Linked DNA regions of Drosophila melanogaster. Changing the gene in region 1 together with any one later gene gives a genetic interaction. Each region holds a gene or a part of one and is shown in the gene's direction. Other genes may lie near its edges. The genes, in order: Tis11 and Pop2.

Region 1 (12,383 bases):
TCAATTTCAATCCGATAGTTTAGCAGTGTGCCACGGTGAAGTATCGTTTCTCGTTCATACCTATCTGAGCGTATCGTTCCACGATATCAGGTGGCAGTGTTTGGTTGAACCTATCGGGCCCTATCGATATAAGCAAAAGCATTTTTGCTGGATCTACCATTTTATTTTAGTTAATAAAATACATATATTTCCTCTCTTTTTGTTCCGTTTGTGCGCGTACAAAACTAGCTGCGAACTCGTGCAATATTTCATAAACTGAATGGGAAAACAACGATAACGACGAAAGAAAACGAAAACGGATCTGCGACGAAATTTTCCCCGTTCCGTTTTTTTTTCTCCACCAGCAGCAGAAGCAGCAGAGCAAAAGCAGCGAATATATTTGTAAAAGAGAGCCCCAACCTTGAGAAAAAACAACCAGCAGGGCAATAATTAGTTGAATTTATCGTCTGCTGGTAAGAAATGAACCCAAATGTGAACTTAGACCGTTTGATTTCCGCGAGGATCCATCATTTTTTCACCCATTTCGTCCAGTTTCAAATGCGTGCTAAATATGCTAACGTGTGTGTGTGTGTGATGGGTCTTCGATGGTGTGCGTGTCTCGCTGTGCGCTTCAATGTGTTGGTCTGCTTCTCACACTCTGCGTTCGTGTGTGTGTGTATATGTGTGCCTTCGAAATTTTCTTTTGTGTAAAACATTTGTAAGGTGCAACTGCAGCTGTGTGCGTGTGTGTGTATCGCTTTGACTGCCGTTGTTGTTTTTGTTGTTGTGCGTCATAGCAATGAGTGTGTGTGTGTGTGTAATATGCATTCCAACGGGGTAAGAAAGAAGAGGAAGCAGTACCTGTCGCCAATAAATATCGTATATCGATGTCTGTCTGTGTTTATTTAGAATTTCCCTTCAGCCCGCCCCCGTGCAAAAGGAAATATTGCTCCTCCTTCACCTCCATCACCTCAAGTAGGGATCAAGTGTAATCGATAATGCAGACATATCGATTGGTCCGTTGAGAAACATCAGAAAAACACGTAAAGTGCAAGCTGGAAAAGAAAAGCAAAACAAATTCCGGAGAGCAGAAAGAGAGGTGGAAAAGAAAGTGTTGAGAAAGGGATGACAGCAAAAAGAGGCTCTGGTGATATTAGTTAAATGTCAGCTGGTCTGTAAATCGTCGCGACATTTTGTGTTGGGGCAACTATTCAAAACTTTCCCAAAAACACTGTGAAACAACTCTAGAGAAGATACCACTCATTTTTCTTAAGGTTAAAATATAAAACAGTACACGATTACATTTTCTGGGATCCGCAAAACTGTTCGTTTTGTAATAGGTCCCTTTGTAGTATTAGAGTAATATAGTTGTTTAGATGAAGGGTGTTCAAGTGTCAGAATGATAATTAGTAACTCCTAGCGTTTAGTTCTTAACTTAATATATACAAAACATATAATGTTCCCAACCCATGCAGTTTTTCAAGTGAACGCGTCCAACTGTTTTTGAAGCGAAGCGCTTAGGCGGAGGAGCAGCTAGCCAGGATGGACAAGATGCGGATATTGAAGGAAAGTCGCCCCGAGATAATCGTCGGTGGCAAATATCGGGTGATCAGGAAGATTGGTAATTCAGCCGTGCGATTTTATCCCCACAATATTCTCTAATCTCTGAAAATTATTCACAGGAAGCGGATCGTTTGGCGACATTTACCTGGGCATGAGCATCCAGAGCGGCGAAGAAGTGGCCATCAAGATGGAGAGCGCCCACGCCCGCCATCCGCAGCTGTTGTACGAGGCCAAGCTGTACCGCATTCTGAGCGGCGGCGTTGGATTCCCTCGTATACGTCACCATGGCAAGGAAAAGAACTTCAACACCCTGGTCATGGACCTGCTGGGACCCTCGCTGGAGGATCTGTTCAATTTCTGTACGCGCCATTTCACAATCAAAACGGTTCTGATGCTCGTCGACCAGATGATCGGACGCTTGGAGTACATCCATCTCAAGTGCTTCATCCATCGCGACATCAAGCCGGATAACTTCCTAATGGGCATTGGTCGGCACTGCAATAAGCTGTTCCTGATCGATTTCGGTCTGGCCAAGAAGTTCCGCGATCCGCACACGCGCCATCACATCGTTTACCGCGAGGACAAGAACCTCACCGGCACTGCCCGCTATGCCTCGATCAATGCCCATCTGGGCATCGAGCAGTCGCGGCGTGACGACATGGAATCGCTTGGATACGTGATGATGTACTTCAATCGCGGCGTACTGCCATGGCAAGGCATGAAGGCCAACACCAAGCAGCAGAAATACGAGAAGATCTCCGAAAAGAAGATGTCCACGCCCATCGAGGTCCTCTGCAAGGGCTCGCCGGCCGAGTTCTCCATGTATCTGAACTATTGTCGTAGCCTGCGCTTCGAGGAGCAGCCAGATTACATGTACCTACGTCAATTGTTCCGGTGAGTACGATTAAATCATATATTGCATACGAATCTTAAGATTACACCCGATTGTTTTTGTGATAATGTTTGTGGTGATAATCATTGTGGAGGCTGTATTCGATATGTGTTTAGGTCATAGTTTTCTTGTTTTTTTTTTTTAATTCGAAATGATGTAACCCCAACTTTCTCTTTAATACAGCATACTGTTCAGAACGCTGAACCATCAGTATGACTACATCTACGACTGGACAATGCTGAAGCAGAAGACCCATCAGGGTCAACCCAATCCAGCTATACTCTTGGAGCAATTGGACAAGGACAAGGAGAAGCAGAACGGCAAGCCCCTGATCGCGGACTAAGAGCTGCAGCGCATTCAGACGAATGGGGGGAGTGCATCAGAGAAGGAGAACGTGGATGCGTGGATGTAAATGACGTTGATGTGGGCGAAAGGCCCGGCAAGGAGCGGAGCAAATATGAAACAGACGCAACCGTAAAATTGAGTAACACCAGCGGTCGTCCGAATGTTTCTTAATATTAATTTAAATTCAATACTAAACAAATAAGGAACCACAAACAAGCAAGCAACGGCATCATCAGCAGGGCATATAAAATGATACCCCAGCAAATGTGATTCACGAGTGAATCACTGCGATCGATAATAACATAAACCGAAATTATTGCAAATCAATACGATTTAAACTAATTTGCAATCCATACACAAATCAACATACTTGCATAACACACCCACACACACACATACATACACACACTCACCCACTCTCATCCACCCACTCAAAAAGCAAACATCATTGCCCAAAAGGGGGAGAAAAAAGAAAAGAAGAGAGAAGAAGAAAAGAAGAGGAAAGAAATCAACAACACTTAGCCTAATAAATTACAAGAAATAATATTGGTAGAGTTGGAGGAACAAAATGAAGTAATGCTGAGGAAACTAAACCTATATATATATGTATATGTATATATGTAAGCGAATAAACACAACACCATATATGTATGCATATACCCATTTGATTCACGTCAAATCGAATCCAATGCTTAATTATGAATCGAGCGAAACAAAACTCAATAACTAATTAAAATGGAATAAATAAGAAACAAAACAGCAACAAGCAAACAACAACACAAAAAAACAACAAACAAATAAGAATAAACAATAAAAAAAAATTAATAAAACACACCGAGAAAAGCAAACAAAAAAAATATAGTGGAGGATGCGGAGGAGAAACAACCAAGCAAAGCCAACTGAGATGGGGGAAAATATAAAATAAAAGCAGCAACAAGAGTAAAACAAGCAAATAATAATTATAATGAAGAAAGAAAAAGAAGAAAACAGACCGCAAAACTGCAAAGTAATTTTGCATAGTACGCCGTAATAATTATAAATATAACTTATATTTAATTTTTTGAATTACATCAATAAATATGTTGAAATTAAATTTCGACTCGGCGCTGTTCACATCTGCATTAGATAGAGATGGGGGCATACGAAAGGGAAAGAAGTGCATTCAAATATATTTATTGTTGTAATATACGTCATTGTTTATTAGCGATTAGCTCTATTGGTTAATAATCTTTTTTAAAATTGTAGCATGTAATTAGTTTTTTTATTATACTATATTAAATTTACATAAAAATTGTATATTCATATATATATATATATGCATACGTTTTATTTGAGCCCCAACATTTAATTTCCCCCATAAGTGCTTTGTATCTAAAGTTGTATTCGTTTCAGCTGAAATTAAAATTTAGTTGAAATTAAAGATGCTTTTATATATTTAAATTAATCACAAAAAAATGCCTGTGTTTTTCAGATCTTGCGTTCAGTCATTAATAATGCATTTTAGTTATGAAAACTTGAACGTGACATAAAAACATTTCATTGTCACATTGGTTTATGGTTTATGGTTTATGGTTTATGGTTTGTTTATTTAAATTTGTACTGCTACTATTGATATCATCTAGTAGATTGCATAGCTGGTAGTTAGCAAAATATTCTGAAGAGATGAGAAAAAAAACGTAGAATCTTTGTAGAGAAAGTTGTCAATATTTTAAATTACGTTTATATTTAATGGAATGGTTATCTGCGATACTGTAATGGATGGTACAGGGGGGCGCAGCGTTAATCATCTTTCTTTAAAGTATTTTCCATAATGCCTCCAAAAATCGATTCGTAATGTTTTTTCACTTTCAGGTGGTCTTTCTTAAGATCCAAAACGAATTTAGCAGCTGACGTCTTTTGCAACCCGACTGTGAAATACATTTATTTATTAGACCCTCTTAATTTCTTTGTTTATTCGTCATTGTTGACCAATGACACGTACGCGGTCCGTCTGTGTGTGAGAATGTGCTTTTTATTATTTATTAACTTTATGGGATGTCCACTGCACTACTGACCCATTCCAATCAGCACCCCGTTTGCAAGCAGAAGGCGCTGATTGGAAAACACCAATTGCAGTGCAATTGCTGATAAGAACATTTAAAGTTCTGATTGAATAGTAAAAGAGCAAAAACGAAGCGCAACATTTATCAATTCGTCTCTTTAGTTTGACAAGAGATCTTAAAACATTTGCTATTTATAATTTTACATTTATAAATAACTTATTGCAGGATAACTCCTGAGAACATTGTCATTATTTTATCATTACATTCCTAAAAAGCTAACATGGGGAAAAATACAAATGAAATTTAAACTATGGCGCTTGTTTTGATACTGCGATTTAGATGGCTGCCACATAGTTTGACTTTGCCACCCGTGGAGCTGAAGTGACTGGAAATATATCTTTAACAACTTAAAGTTGCCTAACTAGTGCAATTATGCGCTTCAATAATGTTTTAAAAATAGTAGAAATTGGGACAGCGCTGCCAATAACTTCGAAAATTTAAAGGCAATCCAGTGGCACCACTGGCAAGCGAGTAGGTACAGGTGGCACCTCTACCAGTCGAGTTTGCACAGGTGGCACCACTAGCAAGCGAGTTGGCTCGATTAATGTTACTTGATTTACTATCGACTATGCTACTTGATTTAAAGGTATTATATGAAAAAACTTTCATTTCAAGTTTGAAGCATTTTTTCTTTTAGCTAGGTAAAAACTAACCGACTACAGAATAACCATTTACATATCTTAGACTCAAACGCTCTGACAAAAGAGCGCCTAACGGGAGGCCAAATGCCGTTCACCAAAAAGCATATATGACGTGGGCATTTTTCGGCTGACTCGCGGCTGGTCACACTGCCGGGCAACCGAATCGAAAAAACGGCGATTCGACATTTTTGTGCGAGTGTAAGGTTCGATTCCGATCTGGCTGGTTGTCTGACGGACGTGCTGCGTCTATTTTGTTGTGTTTTTTTGCGAACGAGCGAAGAGCGACAGGACCTCTGCGCCCGTATTCAAAGTAATAAGCGATTCGATAGCCAAATTAAAATTGTGTGCTTGTTTCTCGTGTATCTTGTGGTGTTTGTGCGATCCAAATCGAGTGGTCAACTTACATTCCCTTTCATCCTTTTCGTGGTTTATTTTTTTTTGCAAGTGCCGGAAAAATTCGAATTGGTTGTTCATCAATATACAACAGTTAACTGTATAGTAAAGTAAGAAATGGTCCACTGTTGTCGTTGTTTTTAAAAGGTGTAAAGTAAGAGTAAATGAATATAAAAGGCGCAACGAGAATTTCTTGAATCATGTTCAAATAAGCATAAGCAAGCATTCGATTAATTTACATGCGCGCATGTGTGCAATCCCAAGGACTTTGGGAACAAGAAGAACCGCGCGCACAAGGAGCATGCGAAGCAACAGGGAAAAATCATAAACGACAGAAATTGCTGCCCTTTTATTTGATTTTTGTGTTATGTTTTTTTTTTTGATGATTTTGAGTTCGCTGTCGCAGCAATAATATAAGAATTACAAACACACAGACGCAAGTGATATACGACCACCACTAGAGATCGCACACACACACGCAACACTTAGGCACACATAGGGAGATAGAGTGAGAGAAGGAGGAAAGGAAGGACGGAAAGGAAGGGACGAAGCGCAAGCTTATCTTTTCGCTTTTCGAGAACGCGAACGAAGACGATAAAAGCAAAGCAAACAACGCACACACGTAAATAAAACAGACATCGGCTGTTTAACAAACACACACATGTGTATATCAAAAAAGGGACAAAGCAAAGCGAAGAATATCAGCCTTTGGTTCTTCTTTCCTTTGCACATGTGCCTGGAAAATATCCTTACGAACACACTCCCATACGCATACGCATACGAACGACAAGCACGTGAAATTTTTGTTCCCTTGCTCTTTGCCCTTCTCTCTTCTGCCCTCGTGCATCGCTCTCTCACTTCCATTATTCGTCGCTAATCAAACGCTCTCTTCACTCTTTTAGCTGATTTTTTTTTATTGTTGCAATGCAATATTCGCGGAACGAATAACAACAACATACATAACTCAATATTCAAGTGCAAAGCAAATACAAATCAAACACAAAAGAAAAAGCAACGAAATAAAGATATATAGAAAAGAAAAACAAAACGAAAAAATTCGCACATTTTTTCTGTCTTGTCCAGTGGAAAATACAACAAATAAACAACAACGGCTAAATCAAGTTAACAATCTGTTCAAAACCAATCAACAAAATGTCTGCTGATATTCTGCAGAAATCAAGAGAGCAGGATGATTCGCACTACTTCGAGCGTGGCGATATATCCAAATACGTAACGGTAAGTTTCCCAAAATTCTCAAAAACTACGTTTTCCTCCGTTTTTAACTGTTCGGTCATTATATTCTTGTTCTTGTGTTTTTTTTTTCTCAAAATTCGGTATTGTTTAAAGTGTTATTTTTCAAGATGTGGTTTTACCCAGAGTTATGAATGAAATTGAATAAATATGCCATGACTAATTTACAAAACTAATTCAATAGGTCTCTTATGTTGTTTTTATATTGCATGCAGATGTGCGCATATGCATTTTTGTCTTGGTATTTGGGCTTCCAAGAAATTTAGTAAAACTCAAATTGCTAATTCACTAAAAAAAAAAGTCAAGCACTTGGTAAGCAAAATTAGAGAAGCTCCATATAGATTGAGTGAAAAGAAAACTTAAAATATTTTCCAGTCAACTTAAAACATGCCTAAACCACATGTTTTTTTTTGGTTTATTCATTTCGGCAGTTGCATTTTGCGCCGCATTTGTGTCGCATTGTTAAAGGCAATATGTGCATCGTTTGCTTAATTTCGATAACTTGTTTTCCATTTTTCACTTCGTTATATTTCCGTTTTGTTACACTTGTATTTGTTGTTTGTTATTCCCCATTATAAAGCTGATTCATAATTATACTTTCGGTTTGTCAACTCACAAAAAACAGCAACAAATAGAGAGTGTGTGTGTGTGATGGTGGTGAAAAATGAAAATAAGCGACAGACTATAAAGTGGACTAAATAATTCTCTGATAAGGATTTGTGATAAGTGTATTGGAGAAGGGGGCGGGGCATCCTTGCATATCACTCTCTCCCACCCGCTCTTTCTCCCTCTCGATCCGCTCCCTTACGCTGTGCACCTTCTCTTTTTGTCCCTTCTCTTCGTATTTATTTGTTACAATTGGCGTCATCGCAGCAGCATCATTAAAAGCAGCAGCAACAACAGCAATAACACCACTCGTGATCATTTACTGTTTGTATATACATACGTATGTATGTGTGTGGTGCATGTGTGCGTGTTGCTGGCAGCGACGTTGGCAGCGCAGCTGTTGATCGACAACAAATTCGATTAACTCAAGTTCCGGGTTTGCTTTGGATGGATTTTTGTGTTTTTAATGATTTCTGTTGTTTTATTTATACATATTATTTCGTTCATTTGTTTTTTTTGGGTTTATTGATTGCTCTCGGATGAGTTAAGTTTTTAATATTTTTTTTATGTTCAAAAGCTCTGCTGCAGCGATTACGTGAAAAGTTTTGCGGTTTTTCGTGTAAAAACGAGAGGGGAGCAAAGTAAGAGACAGATGGAGCAGTGTTGGGCTCACTTTTGTTTTGATTTTCTTGTTCTTGTGCCTGCGCTTTTTTTTCGCAAATTTGCGTAAACTAAAATGCAAAGCCAAAGGGTCAAGTAGAGTCATAGAAAGGAAAAAATAACATTGAGCAAGGAGAAAAACAACAAACATAATAAAAATAGGGCCAAGCCAGGTTGACGTCCGATAAAGTTGCAAATGCTTGTTGAATGAACTTTGCAATCGATTATCGATAGGCAATCAGCAACGATTCGCACTGAAAATTGTTTGATATATTTTTGTTGTCATTATGCAGCAGTTTTTAGCCACAAAGGCAACAACAAATTGCTGCAGAAAGCGAAAGGGCACCACAAACACTTTCAAGCAAACACAGGCAAATAGGAAATGCTGCCGCGCAACTTTTTTATTAGGCGACAAAATTGTTGCAACTCCTTCTTTGCAACTCTTTTATAAGATTATGAAAGATATTTGCATAAGGAAATTATATTTTTTAAATCAATTTCATTTTTTAACTCGTCTTTGTTTCGGCTATAAGTTAAAATATGAACGAAAAACAATAATGTCACAATCTTTGCTTTTGAATTTATAAAAACATTTTGGTTTTGGCTTTTGTTACATTTACTGCGCCACTTCGTTCGGGAATGTGCACTGAGAAGAGGTAGGCGGTGGAGAAGAGAAAGGGTGGAAGGGGAGAATGGAGAATGAAGTGCCGAAAGAGAAGAGAAGGGAGCAGCGCCAACTTTGAAATTCACTTTTTCGCATAACTTTTAATTTCTCGTTTTCTTGGTTTCGTCTTGATTTTATTATGAAATTTATATGCATGTACATTGTATTACCATGTGATATGCAGTTAAATGCAGTTTGCAGTGAAACCTCGATAAAAGATGTATATTAAAACTCTGCTCTTATTTTAGCAAGAGTATTATTTGACTTCTTATATAAATCTTAAATCTATTTTACTACAATGCCCTTGTTTCCTAAATCAATTATTATTATTCGTATTTTATTTTATTATCCATATTTAAATGAAGGTTTAGTCAAGTAGTAGCTGTGTAGCGTGTGACCACTGTAGTGTGTCTCGTCGGTTTGCTTGGTTTGTGTTTTTTTTTTTGTATGTCGGCTTCTCCGTTTTCAGGCTGAAAAGTAAAATGTGTAAAATGTGCTTAGTTTGTTATATCGAAATTCCCGTACGTAATCAGCGGTATTGCGTTTCAGCAAACTCCCCCTCCTCTGCTCTTTGCCCAACTCCTCTGCACTCCTCCATCCAGCCGTTTCCCCCGGCCCGCTCTCAGCGCTACCCTCTCCTGCTGAGAAGAGGCTCACTTACACTTGCAGAGCGACAAACGGCGACTACTTTTTACGAATATAATTCCATTTCCTGCCAAGGCGATAACAACAACGTCGTCGTTTTATTTTGATCTGTGTGTTTTTCTCTCCTCCTCCCTCTTCTTCTTCGTCTGGGCTGCTTCTTCTTCTTGTGCGATGTGTGTTTGTCCCGACGCCATTGCTGCGCGAAGAAGACGAAGAAGAAGAGCAATCAGATCGGCGGGGGAGAAGGCGAAGTAGTAGGAGTTCAAGGAGGAGAAGGAGGAGGAGCAAAGAGCGAGTGTAGCGACCACCACCGCTACCTACCTAAACAAAAAAGGCAACTCTTCAATTTTCAATCCTCACCCTTCTCCATTATATCTGCCCCCCACCTCTGCTCCTTCTTCGTTAACCCTCAACTCCGCCGAACGTCATTTCATTTCGATCCGATCCGAACCGAACCGACTCGACTCGATTAATAGCCCCATCCCTAAAGTCCAGGTCCAATACCGCATGAGCCCATATACCCATTCCAAACGAACCGATTCGAAATCGCAGGCTCAAGTCCCCGATCCGCTCGCTCTGTCTCTTTTACTCACTCACCCACACTGGCGCACATTGCAAGCGCAGCGACAGTGTTGCCAGACATAACTTATATTGAAATTTGCTTGAAACATCTATAAGTTAGATACATATTCTGCTATGCATTAAAAACGGACTGTGCACATATACATACATATGTACATATGTGGTTCTTTTGACATTTTAAGCTCGCAATGTTTTTGAAAAGATGTCTTAACGTCTTCCGAAAGAAGCTAAAAGTACACCTGCTAACTGTAAGAACTGAAATCGTTTTCAATAGAACTTGACTATATGAAGGCATTAAGTGTATAGGTTTGTTCCTGTGATATGTTTTCTAGAACATGCACCTGCTGTTGCCTAGAATTCTGGCAGTTTCCTATTGAACCTGGCTATAAAAAGGCTAAAGTGAGCATATCAACTAAACTCACTACCCAACAGGGCACTTAAACTCATGAAAACGCACATGAGGACATGAGGCCGGGGCAGCAACAACAACTAAAGTAATAAGTACAACAGCAACAACAACAACAATAACACATTGTCAGCATATTGACTGGCTGACCCTTGAGATACCCTTGGAGTGGAAGCGAGAGGTAAATGGTTGAAGAGGGGGGGGATTCTCAGTTCGTCAAGAGTTTATTAGTCGATGGGGGTTGAAATTGAGGATCACCGCTACTGATTTTCCATCTACAACTAAACGTACATATAGAAAACAATACAAAGCAAATCCGTTCTACTTGTTTTTATTCGGACTTTTAAAGAAATTGTTGGTTAAATGTGAAACAAGTGTAAATATAGAATAGATTTTAAAATACATACGCCACAATGTAATATTCGCTTAAATTGAGCTGTTCGTAATTCTTTGTTGCTGCCGCTTCGATGAAAATAAATTATGAATAAGTTATTTGCGTGCGAAGCTACTGACTGCTTATTATTATTATTATTATTATTTTTATTAATAATAGTGTTTTTGCTGTTGCCTGGCTGTCCTCTTATCGTGCAGTTGTAAAAAATACATATAAGAAAAACATGCACATCAAATAAATACGCAACACATATATACATATCTACGTACGTACATACATTCATATATATGTATTTGCGCTCTCTTGCCTTTGTCGTCGCTTTGCTATCTCGCCCACACCAACGCATTTGGCAGTATGCCCCCACTCCTCGGCGCTCTCGCTCTTTCTCTCTATCTGGCCTGGCCTGGCTTGATGGGGAGAAGGAGAGGGAGACCGAGCGAGCGAGCCAGGCAGGCGTGCGCAGTGGGGCCCATTTACCGTGGGCCAGAACGGGATGGAGCATAGAGGCGAAGACACTTCATATTCTATTGTCATTTTGTTGTTGTGGCTGTTGTTGTAATCTCGAAATTGTCTTGGCTGTACTGTTGTTCTCATTGTTGTTGGTATTATTGCTAATGGCCGCTCAATTGAGTGCCAAAGTACATCTCGCCCCTCCCTCGCTCTGCGGCCCCTTCCACCCCCTCTCCCACACAATCATCTGCTTGTTTGTTGTTTGCATGCACAGGAAGAAATTGGATTTGAAATAACATAAAGAGCTATTTCACAGAAGTGGGATTTGAACTCGGACAATAATCATGTCTTATCTATTATTAAGTTAGTCCTTTTCTTAATTAACTTTATAAATAAATATATGTCCTTATCATTCAATCCGATTTTGCTCTCAGTGCCCTGAAAGGCGGGTGTTTTGCACTCAGAATCGATCTGAAGTTTGAACATTTTCCCGGATTCTGGGAATGTGTGGAATATTTTATTATCCACGGCATATTATTATTCGCAGAATACGATATTCCCGCCTGTATCTCTCGGCTTTACAGTTTGCTTCGCTTAATAACTTCGTTAATATGTACATACATATTTCCATTATGCTGGCTGGCATTTGCTTTTCACGCTTTTCATGCGGGCCACCCTACAAAAAGTGTTGCGCTTGCAAACCTGGTTTTTTTCCCCATACATATATATGTATATATTTTGGTGTTTCAGCTTTTTTTCTGATTGCCAATCCACACAACGAAATCCACCGAAAAATCCAATCCAATCGAA
Region 2 (12,383 bases), on another chromosome or scaffold:
GGTTGGCTGTCAAGGAGGGTCACTGGAGTGTGGTGGAGCATCTGCTGCAACGTGGTGCCCTGTTGGATGAACCATTGGGACAGACACGCAAGACGCCGCTAATGATTGCGGCGGAGGAGGGACACCTGGAGCTGGTCGATCTGCTGCTGGCGCGGGGAGCGCAACGAGAAGCTCAGGATCACGAGGGATTCACTGCACTCAGCTGGGCCTGTTTACGTGGCCACTTGGCGGCGGCCAAGACGCTCATAGAACATGGCTGTAATCGCCACCACGAGGATCACAATGGACGCACAGCCCTGGATCTGGCAGCCTATCAGGGAGCCGCTAGCCTGGTGATCTATATCCTGGAGCAGGGCGGCAATCTGGAACACATTGATGTTCATGGAATGCGTCCCCTGGATCGGGCCATTGCCTGCCGTAACATCCAGGCCGTACAGGTGTTCCTGCGCAAGGGGGCCAAACTGGGACCGACCACTTGGAGCATGGCCATGGGCAAGCCGGAGATTCTGGTCATACTACTGAACAAGCTGCTCGAGGACGGTAATGTGCTGTACCGGAAAAACCGCTTCCAGGAGGCTGCTCATCGCTATCAGTATGCCCTACGCAAGATCTCCGGACTGGAGCAGTTGCTCGAAAGGAATGCCATCTTCGCCCAGCTGCGGACCAATCTTCTGCTGAATCTGTCGCGCTGCAAGCGAAAACTGAATGTAAGTACCCAAAAATATGAGTTGACATCTGGATATTTGACTAACCATATCTGTAATTCGCAGGAACTTGACGCCTCCATAGATTTGGCCACGCAAGCGATTGCCCAGAAGCCGCACAGCTACGAAGGATACTACGCCAGGGCAAAGGCGCGCATGGAACTTGGTGCATTGAATGAAGCACTTGTGGACGCCAATGAGGCGATGCAGCAGGCCGCCCAAAGCGGTGTGCTCTGCGAAGTGGTCGAGGTGCTGAAGCGCATCCAGACCGAGCTGCTCACGCGGATCAGCATCAGCAGCGAGGATCAGACCGGCAGGATGTCGAATATCGGCGGCGGGGCATCCGTCGCATACGAATCTCATCATGAGATCACCGATTTGTAAATGTCGATTGTTGTGTATTGTTGTACTCGTCGTATACCCTTCGAATTAATCGCTATTCCTACTTAAGAGCTACCCTAGACCTTAATTTTTGCTATTTATTGCCTTCGAATGTTTTTAATTTAAACCAACTGAAACTATCATTGTAATTTGTTTTTAAATTTTCTTTTTAATTGTGTCTGCGCATGTAAAAATTAGTTTTATACTCTGATTTAGCATAGGCATCAGTTCTTATCCATAACGAATATTAAATAAATGCGAATTCTTTTAAGATTTAATAAACACATTATTATTTTGATATTCGATGCAGACTTTTGGGGGTAGGCTCGGGCACTCTGGGCTAAGATTATAAAACATTCTTTAACTTATTAGTGCATAGTTTTGAGCTGTTTTTAAATAAAACATTGTTGAACAACGGCAAGGGAGTTGAAATAACTGGGAAACATTTTAACGTTTGCAGAATATATTACAAATTTTCACATTTAAGAGTATTTAAATTTATGAACAAAATTTAAAACAATTATGTGAACTTATATATATGTGTGTGTATGTACAATTAAAGCTTAAACATTTCGGGGGAGAATAAAACATAGGAATGAAATAGTTTGAAATGAAATGTGGGCGTATTTAAGATTAATAAATAGGAAGTTTAGAGAGCTTTAAATGCTAATTTGTATACTAGCATGAGAGTGAACTTTCCATAAATAAGTTGTGTGTTCCAACGTATACTTAAGTACATATAAAATTAACAATGGTAGTTCTCTTTTATCTACGAAGATTTTCCATTAAGTTTACTCAGTTCAGTTGGTTCGCCACTATCGCCATGTACCAAGCGGGACTCGACGAGCGGTGCTGAAATCTGCAAATGCAGAACGTAGTCGGCAGCTGGAAGAACAAAGTTTCAGTTACGCCAAGAGCTTAAAGTGGGAAGACTACATGGAAATAAATAAATAGAAATGTGCTAGATGTGGCATGTTGTTTTGGGAGTAATCAAACATGGGAACAAGCTGTGGATGAAAGCGGAGGAAACGAAAAGCGTGAGATTTTTAGTAGCGCTAATGATACGTGTAAATGAATATTCTACTAAAAACTCCTCTCACTTTGCTCCAAAAGGAATTCCAGATCATCGGGGCAGTCTATCGTGGGGAAATCAATATTAGTCGACTCCTTGAGGATCACACCAATAGTCTTGTCCGCACTCATCAGAAACAAAGGTGCATTCGCCTTGGCGAGCTCCTTTTGCAATGAGCCCATTCCGCGAGCTGCCGTAAAATCGAATTCTGGAAGACAGCACATTTAAAAACCTATAGCAAAAAGTAAATCGTAAATCATACCATGCACGTGGGCGCAATCCAAGACCACAGGTGCGGTTCCATGAATGGTCAGAGCTTTTGAGATGCCCGAACGAACCCATTCGACTGCCGGGAAGTACAGTGAACTGTGCTTAGGGCGAATCAGAATATAATTGATGCCATTGGTGGTTTGCAGTTTGGAGACACTCAGTACGGGTCGAGCGGCTCGGTAAACCAGAAACGCCACATCGGTACTCACGCCCAGCAGAAGACCGATCTCGACGCCCACAGCCAGACTCATTACGAATGTAATGGCACCTGGAAGCAGCTCCCGCCGGCTGCACCGCCACAGCGGCTTAATGACCTCGAACTCAATCATGAATATCACCGCCGAGATGATAACCGCACTGAGAGCAGCCTTCGGGATGTACTGGAAATAAGGTGCCAGGAGGCCGAGTGCCAACAGAACCAGCACGCTTGTGTAGCAGCCTCCAAGCGGCGTCCTTACTCCACTGGCGTGGTTAACAGCGCTGCGCGAGAAGGATCCTGTCACCGGCATGGAGCTGCAGAACGCGCCACAAATGTTGCTCATGGAAAGTGCAACCAGTTCCCGCGTCGGACTCAGTCCAGCTCCTCCAAAGGCTTTCGAAATGGCTACATTTCCAAGCACAGCTATAATGGGTAGGATTAGCATGGAAGGGCCCAGTTCCGAGAGCTGAAAAAAAGATTAAAAACATTATAGTTAAGTTCTTCGGTTATCAGGAAGTTGGTCGATCGTGGAATTCTCCTTTCTATTTTTATCTACATTAAAAAGGTGCAATTAACTTTATAAAATTGGAACAAAATCCAGAGAGGGCGGAATACAAATAAACTCATTTTAATTTATTCTAAAGCCGAGCGACAATTTAAAACAAGAAAAAGGTATCTTAAACAAAGCAACGAAAAGGCAGACTGGCTTGATGATAAATTAATTCGGTGACAAAAAAAAGCTAATTAGTCTACTTGTGCCCACATACCATCTGTTCAAAGTTCTGTCTGATCTCAGTGCCATTCCTGTCCAGTATGGTGGTCTCAAACTTTGGCAGTGAAACGTTGGGCAGACCGCTTTTGACCTTTCCAGTAAGGATGAACGGGCAGCTCTCCATCTGCTCACATGTGCTGTAGGCCAGCACACTGGTCACCAGTACGACCAGCGCATTCCGACCGGTGCCTATTACCCAGATGCTACCACTTACAAGCTGCTGTGTTCGCAAGTTCCGGATTCGACCATCCAGCTTAACGTCTTTTAGTTTCTAAGGGAATTGAATGGGTTTATAAAGTAGTTTCTTAGGATATTTTAGACTCTCTTACCCGCAGAAGTAGCAAAACTATAATGGAAGTCAAACCAAGGGTAAAATCACCAGTTCTAACTTTGTGTAGATTTCCGAACACGGAGCGCATGGTATTGATGAAATCAGACCCGGATCCACCACGCAGTCCCAGCAAACCCTTTAGCTGCGAGGTGCCAATGATGACGGCGGTGGCCGAGGTGAATCCCACGGTAACTGGCAGTGATATCAGGTCCACCAGGGCACCCAGTTTCAGCACTGCCATACCCAGCTCCACAACACCAGAGATGAGGCACAAAAGTATCGCGTACGCTGGACCCGATCCCAGTCCAAATCCCGTGTGCCGGCTTGTCATCAGTGCGAGCAAAGCCGTGGGTCCAATGGTCACCTGCCGGCAGCTGCCCAGCATGGCGTATATAATACCGCCCACAAAGGCGGAGTACAGACCATATTGGGGCTCCAGTCCCGCCAGCGTAGCGTAGGCCAGTCCTTGGGGCAACACCGTCAGGCCGACCGTCACTCCGGCTATCAGATCCGCAACTGCATCTTGGCCAGTATAACCGTGCAGCCACTTTAGACCCGGCAGCAGGCGGTATCCCCACTTCCTCAGGCTCATGGCTTCTATTTCTGTGGGATAAATACAAAAAAAAAAAAAGAATGAGTAATGTATTGGAGCCATAAGAACATACTTCCCAGCTCATTACCAAAAAAAGGGAATTGAAAATATTCAACAAGATTAAAATAGAATTACGTCGTATATATTGAAGATCGCAGGTTCAACGACTTTTCCAATTTCGCATAATTATACATTTGATTATGAGACGTCTGCGTGACAGACGAAAAGATAGAAAGACATCAACTTATTTATCACCAATAAGCAAGTCATAAATAAACGTCGTAGAACTCAAAACAATAGAAGAAATACGAGTTTATGGTAAATAAAAAAGAATAGCTGCCAGAATTACAAATGGCTCAGTGAGTAAACTAGATGGTATAAATTAAACAAAGCTAACCGAAAACAGGTTTGCGTTATTTTACATTTTTTTGAACTGAAAGTGAATAGAAATGCCAAAAGAAATTAGCAAGAATCCAAAGGCAATCAAAGCTATTATAAGCATTACAAATAAGTTGTCTCAATCTTCGCATAGTATTGCATTCATCTAAACCTATTTATGGAATGATTGTTACCACATTTAAAAATAATTAAAATTACACGTTTCGCTCTTCTCAGAGCTATTCCACTTCACTAACAATATTGCATTCCATCCAAATTAAAACAATCTAATCCAAAAAGTCTATCTAACCGCAATTCGTTGAATTTGGTTGAAAACTCACGTATTTAAACAAATGTTTTGATGTTGTTGTCGTTTTGAAGGGCGCGTTCCATTCGAAATGCGAGTTCTTTTCGGTTCGAATTCTTCTAGAATTCTAGAAAGAACGGAGAGCTCTGGGGAAGATCAATTCGGTTCGGTTGCTGGCCAGAGACTGAAAAACGATCGCGTGAACGAAGAATTCCTGATCAGTGATCACACGACCACCTCAATTAGCTGAACAACTGGCGAAGTTGAAAGTATTGGTTCGGGTCGCCTAAAACGTGATCAAATTGCTCGACCGAAGGCACGAGATACAATGTGCACTTTAATTGAATTTCGCTTTGTTTACAAACTATTCTTTTCAATTTAGAGCCAATAATTATGGCGAAATTGTTTGTTTGTTATGTCATTTGCAAACGCCACAATGGCAAATATTGCCAATCGCTTGTGGAAAGAATGGCGAGTTTAGAATTGCTATTAGTTCCACAAAGCAATGATAATGCGATTTATACAATCGACAGTCAACAATTTAACAGCGTTTAGTGAACTATTAGGTAGCATTGTGAAATAAGTAATGAATATAATGTATCTTAAAATAATCAGACCGATTAGAGCGACTAGAATGATTTTCTAAAAACGCCTATAAAGGGGAGGTTTAAATGGAACGTTCTTGTTGGATCGGTTTGTAAATATTTAAATATAAAATAGAAACTAAATAAATTTGACATTTTTGCAACACAATCTAGAAAGTTTCCTTCCTTGTAGGTAAACTATTGAATTCCAGAGGTCAGATAAGAAGAAAAGCCCTTATCAGTACGGAAACGTGTAGTTCAAGTGGTTTTATCAGCATTTTGTAACCGGATTGAGCATAAAAATGCGAAACGTGCGAAAAGTTTATTAACCCTTTGAAGAAACTGGAGAAATCCGTTCTTTGAGGGTCCACGAAACCAAAATAATTGGAGAGATCAGTCGTTATGTACCGATGTACGTACATGTATGTATGTATGTATAAACATAATTGCCGATTGTTGACAGACGGCGAGCTTTATTTATCTTATTTGCTTTCTTTTTTTAATTTGGCATGTGTGAAAAAACTAGTTTTGCACTGTATTGGTATAAACGTAAACAAACTGAGAAAACAGTTGATTCAATTGTTTGTTTATTTATAACGCGAGCCAATTCCTCAAGAATTTGCAACAACAAATGGGTCAAGTTAAAAGGAAAGTGGGACAGACGTAAAAAGAAAAACCACAAATCCAGTAACATTTCTTACTTGATTATTATGATCTATATTTTTGTATCAACTTTTAACACTTAACATTAAAGTTAAAAAATCACAAAGCTACCACTTCTACCGGTGAAATTGAAATAAATATATTTGTTTGACTGTCAGCGAACAGCTGAAAGTCTAGTGTTGCCATCGCTCACCAACTTTCATAGTTTCCCTGGCGCCCTCTAGGCGGCTGCTATAGCGAGTCAAAGGCAGGGCTTGGCAGCACTTAAGTGGCTGAGTGCCTAATATTTAAATACAACAAAACCCATTTTTTTTTGTTAATTTAGATTTCTAATTACTATGCTTATGAACAGAAACTAAAAATTCAAAAGATGGGCACCACTAAAGTCGCCAAACTATCGATATTTGTAGCAATTACACGTTTTCCAGCACTTGAATCGAAGAGCGAACGTTTACCCTCACTGCCGCAATCGCGAACAATTTTTTATTATGGCACTTGCGCGGCTCACAAACGATATTCGCTGATAAACATTCATTGGAAATTATTGCCGAACGCAGAGGACTCCGCCAATTGAAGTGTGCGCTTAAAACGATCGCCGTGCAGGAAGCGGAAGTGCCCCATAACAGCTATTTTCTCGCCGCTTTCTCCCCCATCACCCCCCCGCAAAACAAGCGACGCCGATAGAAACATTTAATTTGTGCAAATAGCCGAAACCTACACGGTCGGCCATCAAATATTATGAAATGGGTAAGCTGCGAGGGTAACCACGAGTGGGTCCATTTCCACAGCCTTGCGTTTCCACGGCGCAAATCGAAAACGAACTGCAATTGCAAATGCATCTTCAATGCCGCTGCAAGTGTGTGTGTGTGTGTGTGTGCGGTGTGATGTGAGCGTGTGTGCGAGTGTGTGCAGTTTTCTTAGGGCGTTTTAACTGTTATTTATTTTCGGTTTCTTCATTTTCCGCAAATAGTCACTTTTTCGTGTTTGTCTGATTTCCCCCCCCCCCCCCCCCAGCCTGCACTATGAATCCGATTTCGAAATGGATTGAAATTCACACCCTCAAATCTTCAGTGTCACTTGCAAATGCTCAAAAACGTATGGAAATTTCTGACTTGCTATGATGTGACTTAAAATCATATTTTTATGTTAAACGCCCTTATATTCATAATTGGTAAAGCATACCAAATCTTAATTAATACAACATATAAAGGGTAGAGCAGCGATTGAGAACTTTTCTGCATATTTCAAAACCTTAAATATAACCTGTGTACAATGAGGGAAATGTTTCTCACACTGTAGTTAGAAATTAAGTCATGTTAATGCTGTCTAATTGCAGCATCAGCTTTAAATAACTTGCCCAGTGTTATCTGAAGGTGTGTTAATGCATGCGATACATCATAGGTGCAATAGGTATAATCCTGTAAAGGCAGATTGAATTATTATTCCGATACCCCTGCATTCGATCAGGAGCATTGATCCCCCGAATCAGAGCTTAAGACCACACATCCAGGTGGAACTTGTTGCTTGAGGCTTGGTTGTAGGTCAGTGCGAAGAGGTGGCTGATCCGGCGGCGAAGGGTGCGCACCAGGCGACGTCCGGCGACGATGTAAGTAGCGGCCATCGTAAACCCAATCACTCCAGTAACCACCTCCAAGCAAATTTCCAAAAAATCGTTACCTTCACTTGCCTTGTTTCGATATGATTTTATTTTATGTTGTTTCCTCGTATCAGCAGCAAAATTCGTGCACTTCTAACATCGATATTGGCCAATCTTCAATTGTGAACCTCCTGTTTAGTTGCGCTATCGTGCTTAACCAATTGGACCAGCTATTTTATTATGTTGCTAACTCTTACCTCCACATAAATACACAAAAACACAAGACACTGGGATTAGTCCTTATCTATGGAAATATTCGATATCGGTAACCTTACACTGATGTTTAAACAAATTCGAAAACTGAGCACCATAAACAACAATTAGTAAACCATCATTATAAACAAAGGTTTCATAATGTTTGTAAAACGTTCTTCAGTTTGTTTGTGCCTTATAAATCTGCATTGTGGAGCATTTACTATGCTTCATAAAATGATAGGACTTGATCAACTAATCATAGCATTGATGGCGAAAACTAATATTTCACATCTTAAATTAGGACTAAACAAACACAAACATATACACACTTATACACTGAAATATGTATACATTACAAGTAGTTTGACCCACAACCAATACTTTTCCCAGACAATGCCCTCGGCCATCAGTGGCGCGCCACATGCCCACATACCCAGCAACGAGGAGTGCGGCATCCGCGATGTGTGGAAGCAAAACCTGGAGGAGGAGTTCCGCACCATACGGAAAGTGGTGCAGAAGTACCACTATGTGGCCATGGACACCGAGTTTCCAGGCGTGGTAGCACGTCCAGTCGGCGAGTTCCGCTCCACGGCGGACTATCATTACCAGCTGCTGCGCTGTAATGTCGATCTGCTGCGGATTATCCAATTGGGCCTTACCTTCATGGACGACGATGGAAAGACACCACCCGGCTACTCCACCTGGCAGTTCAACTTCAAGTTTAACCTGAGGTAAAAGTGTTTTGTTTATGCTCTAATGGGGGGTCCTATATTATCGTTTGTTTCCCTAGCGAGGACATGTATGCGCAGGACTCGATCGATCTGCTGCAGAACTCCGGAATTCAGTTCAAGAAGCACGAGGAGGATGGCATCGATCCCATCGACTTCGCCGAACTGCTGATGAGCTCTGGCATCGTGCTGGTGGAAAACATCAAGTGGCTGTGCTTCCACTCCGGCTACGATTTTGGCTACCTTCTAAAGCTGCTCACCGATCAGAACCTGCCCCCGGACGAATCTGAATTTTTCGATCTGCTGCACATCTACTTTCCCAACATCTTCGACATCAAGTATCTGATGAAGTCGTGCAAGAACCTGAAAGGCGGCCTGCAGGAGGTTGCCGATCAGCTGGAACTGCGGCGCGTGGGCCCCCAGCATCAGGCCGGCTCGGATGCTCTGCTGACGGGCATGGCCTTCTTCAAAATGCGTGAGGTACAGCACACAAATGATTTCCACATTACACCGGTGGCGCACGATGTACTCTTTCGCTATCTGCTTGAGCACACCATGAACTTAAAGCCGACGATCAGCTGCATCCATCTGCTGAGCCGTCCGGCATACAATGGGGGCCCTGCCCCCGACGAATCTGCGATAATCAGCAGTGGCAACGGCACAGGCAACACCAACTCCACCGAGCAGTTCACCTCGAGCGCCTACATGGTTACACCTCCTAATACGCCCGGCATGGCCAAGAGCGATGCCGCATCGCTGTCCAATCGCCATACGTCTATTTCGAATAGCTTCGGATGATTAGACAGCTCGCTCGCTGGTGTTGCCGTGCACTTGCCACTGCTAACGTAACGTGCCTCCGCCCATCATAATCATTATTCCTTAGGTTTAAGGTTTTTCATGGTTGTCATAACGCATTTTCATACATAACTCATCTATGTACTTAGTTTTTTGTGACCTGCACAATTTACAGAGCCAGTGACCCAGAATTTATGAATGAAATCCATAATTTGAAGTGTTCTTAGTAGTTAGTTTGGAGCTGTTAAACCCATGTGAAACATGTTTATTTAGCTGTAATGCCCGCGATACGAATTGAAATGAGAAACGCGCTGGATTCGAATGGAAAATTAAATGAATTGGAATTAATTTTCTTTAAATGTTTATTTGCATTCTTTGGTGTTTGGGCATGGCATATGCATATCATAGCTTGCTTGATTTCATATGACATCTTTTTAATTGTATTGATGTTCATTTTAATTTATGTTAAGTTCACGCTCTTCATTTATATCGAATTAACAAATTATTCTTTTGTAATTTTAAGCGCTTTGCTGACATATGTTTCCACACGGTTTACTGTGTGTATCAGCGTACCAAGACCTTTATCTTCTAGAGAACTGCCGAATAGTTTTGAAATAACAAGAACATTGCAGAATAAATCCCATCCCATACTAACATTCATTAAATATGAAATTTACTAATATTGAAACCTCGTCCAATCACATCGGTTCTGCGGTATGTAACAAATCCTATCTACAAGTAGGACCCACCCATCTACTTGGGATTACTTTCTAAGACTTTGCTGCCGTAGAAATATGTGTGCTTTATACGCTTTGTAGCTCCCAACTAAAGTTGCTCGCATTGATACATCCCATAATTACCATACTTACCCAGAAACTGCTTTCTAACCCATTTGTGCTGTCCCATTCGAAAAACGATCCAATGTTCTGTACCTGCCTAATGAAACTTACAATCTTTGCAGATGTTCTTCGAGGACAACATCGACCATGCGAAGTACTCCGGACACCTGTACGGCCTGGGTACCTCCTTCATCGTCAATGGCACCAACTTCCACGACAGCAACGGTGAGACGAACAGCGCTTCATGATTCGTACTGATGGGGAACGTGGTCGTGCACGACAGGAAGTTCGAGCAGGAGGAATCACCGGGTCCGTCGGCATCTGTGCAGGCCACACCACCTGGCCAACTGATCCTAGCCGTAACAACACCATTGCAGTAATCTGTGGACAGTCGACACAGATCGTTCCCATTTGTGAACAATTATACCCCGTTGGCCATAAAGCTAACTTCTTGATGTTTCCCACGCAAGTTCAGATGAATAGGCAACCGTTCAATACGAAAACATGGCATAAACTAATTGTAAATCGCATAGAAATGAAAAACCGGCAAAACTAAAATAGATTCAATTTCAAGTTCTGCATGTCTTAAATGTGTTACGAATACAAAACTAAGGTATGTAAAATTAAGCTAAAACTGTAAGCCAATGAGCGAAACAGAGAATATTGTGTATTTGTAAAAAGAGCAAAAAAACAATATATTTAAAACTTTTTAATTTAGTGTACATTTCGAAAACGTGTTTTTATTTGAAGTATGAATACGAATCGAGATGTTTGGTTTAGTAGAAAAAAGATGGCGAAAACCTGTAGAAAAAAATATCAAATATCAAATATCAAATCAAGAGAAACCAAGAATCCCAATATCTACAGATGAAAACAAAATTTTCAAGGGTTAAAAATCAATAGTGGGTTAATGAACATATAAAAGGTATTTTTAAAATATAACGGAAATACGCCGAAGTAGCAATAGTCGGATTTTTGTGAAACTGTGGTGCGGTCACACCGAGCCTAGTCCTTATGTTTTGTTTATGGAAAATATCTTTTAGTTTTTGAGTATTAAAAGCCAAATCGATGGCAACTGTGGCTGAATGCAATCACAGCGTCCTCGACCTGGTAACCAAAATGGCCACAATGCTGGTGGCCGATGAGATGAAGCCAAAAAAACAAACAGCTGTGCTGGTGGCCAAAAAGCGCTCCAAAATCTATGAATCGCTGCTTCACAGTGAAACGATGTCGTCCCAGGACAAGCTGGAGATGCTCCACCAGGTGACCAGCGAGGTGGCAAAGAACCCAGACCGGATGGACATGCTGCTCAGGTTCCAAAATCTGCTAGAAGGACAGGATAAGGAAGAATCGGAGATTACACAGGACCAGGATGAGGAAAACCAGTCCGAAGTGGTGATCAAACGTATCAAGGCAGGTCCACTGCAGCTGATTGAAACCATAGAGATTGTGGAGGAGGCACTTCATCCAAAGGCCTTTCCCGACATCAATCAAATGAATCGCGCCCTGAAACCCCTGCAACTACAGCCATACTCCGATATTCTTACAACGAGTAACCTGAATATAAATTTTCCGCCAGAAAAGCTAATTCCGAAGATCATACCATCTACTGTAATTCGCATGGGATTATCAGAGTCCATTACACGCATGAGGAACGAAATGGAAAAACCAATGCATCCACCACCCCGATTGCCAGTGCTCGCGAAAAAAGTCGTAGCTCCATTAGAGGATGAACGACCTTTTGTGGCCCAGCCTGGACCGGAGAAGCACTTCGTTTCGGATAAATTGTTGACCAACGAACTTAAGATCCTCCGGAACAAGAACCTGGTTCTCAACTACCTAGATGAAGCAACCCTAATCGATCACCTAAAGAAAGCAGCGTGTGGTATTGAATCTTTAACGTTTCCCATCTCGTC

Evidence for each region.
Region 2: of Tis11 (region 1) and Pop2, changing one suppresses a phenotype caused by changing the other (phenotypic suppression), as found in Drosophila melanogaster (one study listed by BioGRID).

What each region holds. Positions count from the first base shown.
Region 1 is NC_004354.4:12,653,717-12,666,099, forward strand, and holds the start of Tis11 (Tis11 zinc finger protein), read left to right. Parts: upstream 1-5,698; 5' UTR 5,699-5,832; exon of another isoform or gene 5,833-6,817; 5' UTR 6,818-7,067; coding exon 7,068-7,151; intron 7,152-11,500; exon of another isoform or gene 11,501-11,552; intron 11,553-12,383. Other genes in the region: CkIalpha (casein kinase ialpha), read left to right, coding at 1,522-1,600, 1,662-2,436, 2,618-2,777.
Region 2 is NT_037436.4:11,997,203-12,009,585, reverse strand, and holds Pop2 (Pop2), read left to right. Parts: upstream 1-6,670; 5' UTR 6,671-6,991; coding exon 6,992-7,000; intron 7,001-7,654; exon of another isoform or gene 7,655-7,859; intron 7,860-8,384; exon of another isoform or gene 8,385-8,495; coding exon 8,496-8,836; intron 8,837-8,895; coding exon 8,896-9,631; 3' UTR 9,632-9,974; downstream 9,975-12,383. Other genes in the region: rols (rolling pebbles), read left to right, coding at 1-707, 771-1,088; CG6928 (uncharacterized protein), read right to left, coding at 1,855-1,970, 2,186-2,365, 2,420-3,092, 3,394-3,669, 3,728-4,321; Grip163, read left to right, coding at 11,536-12,383.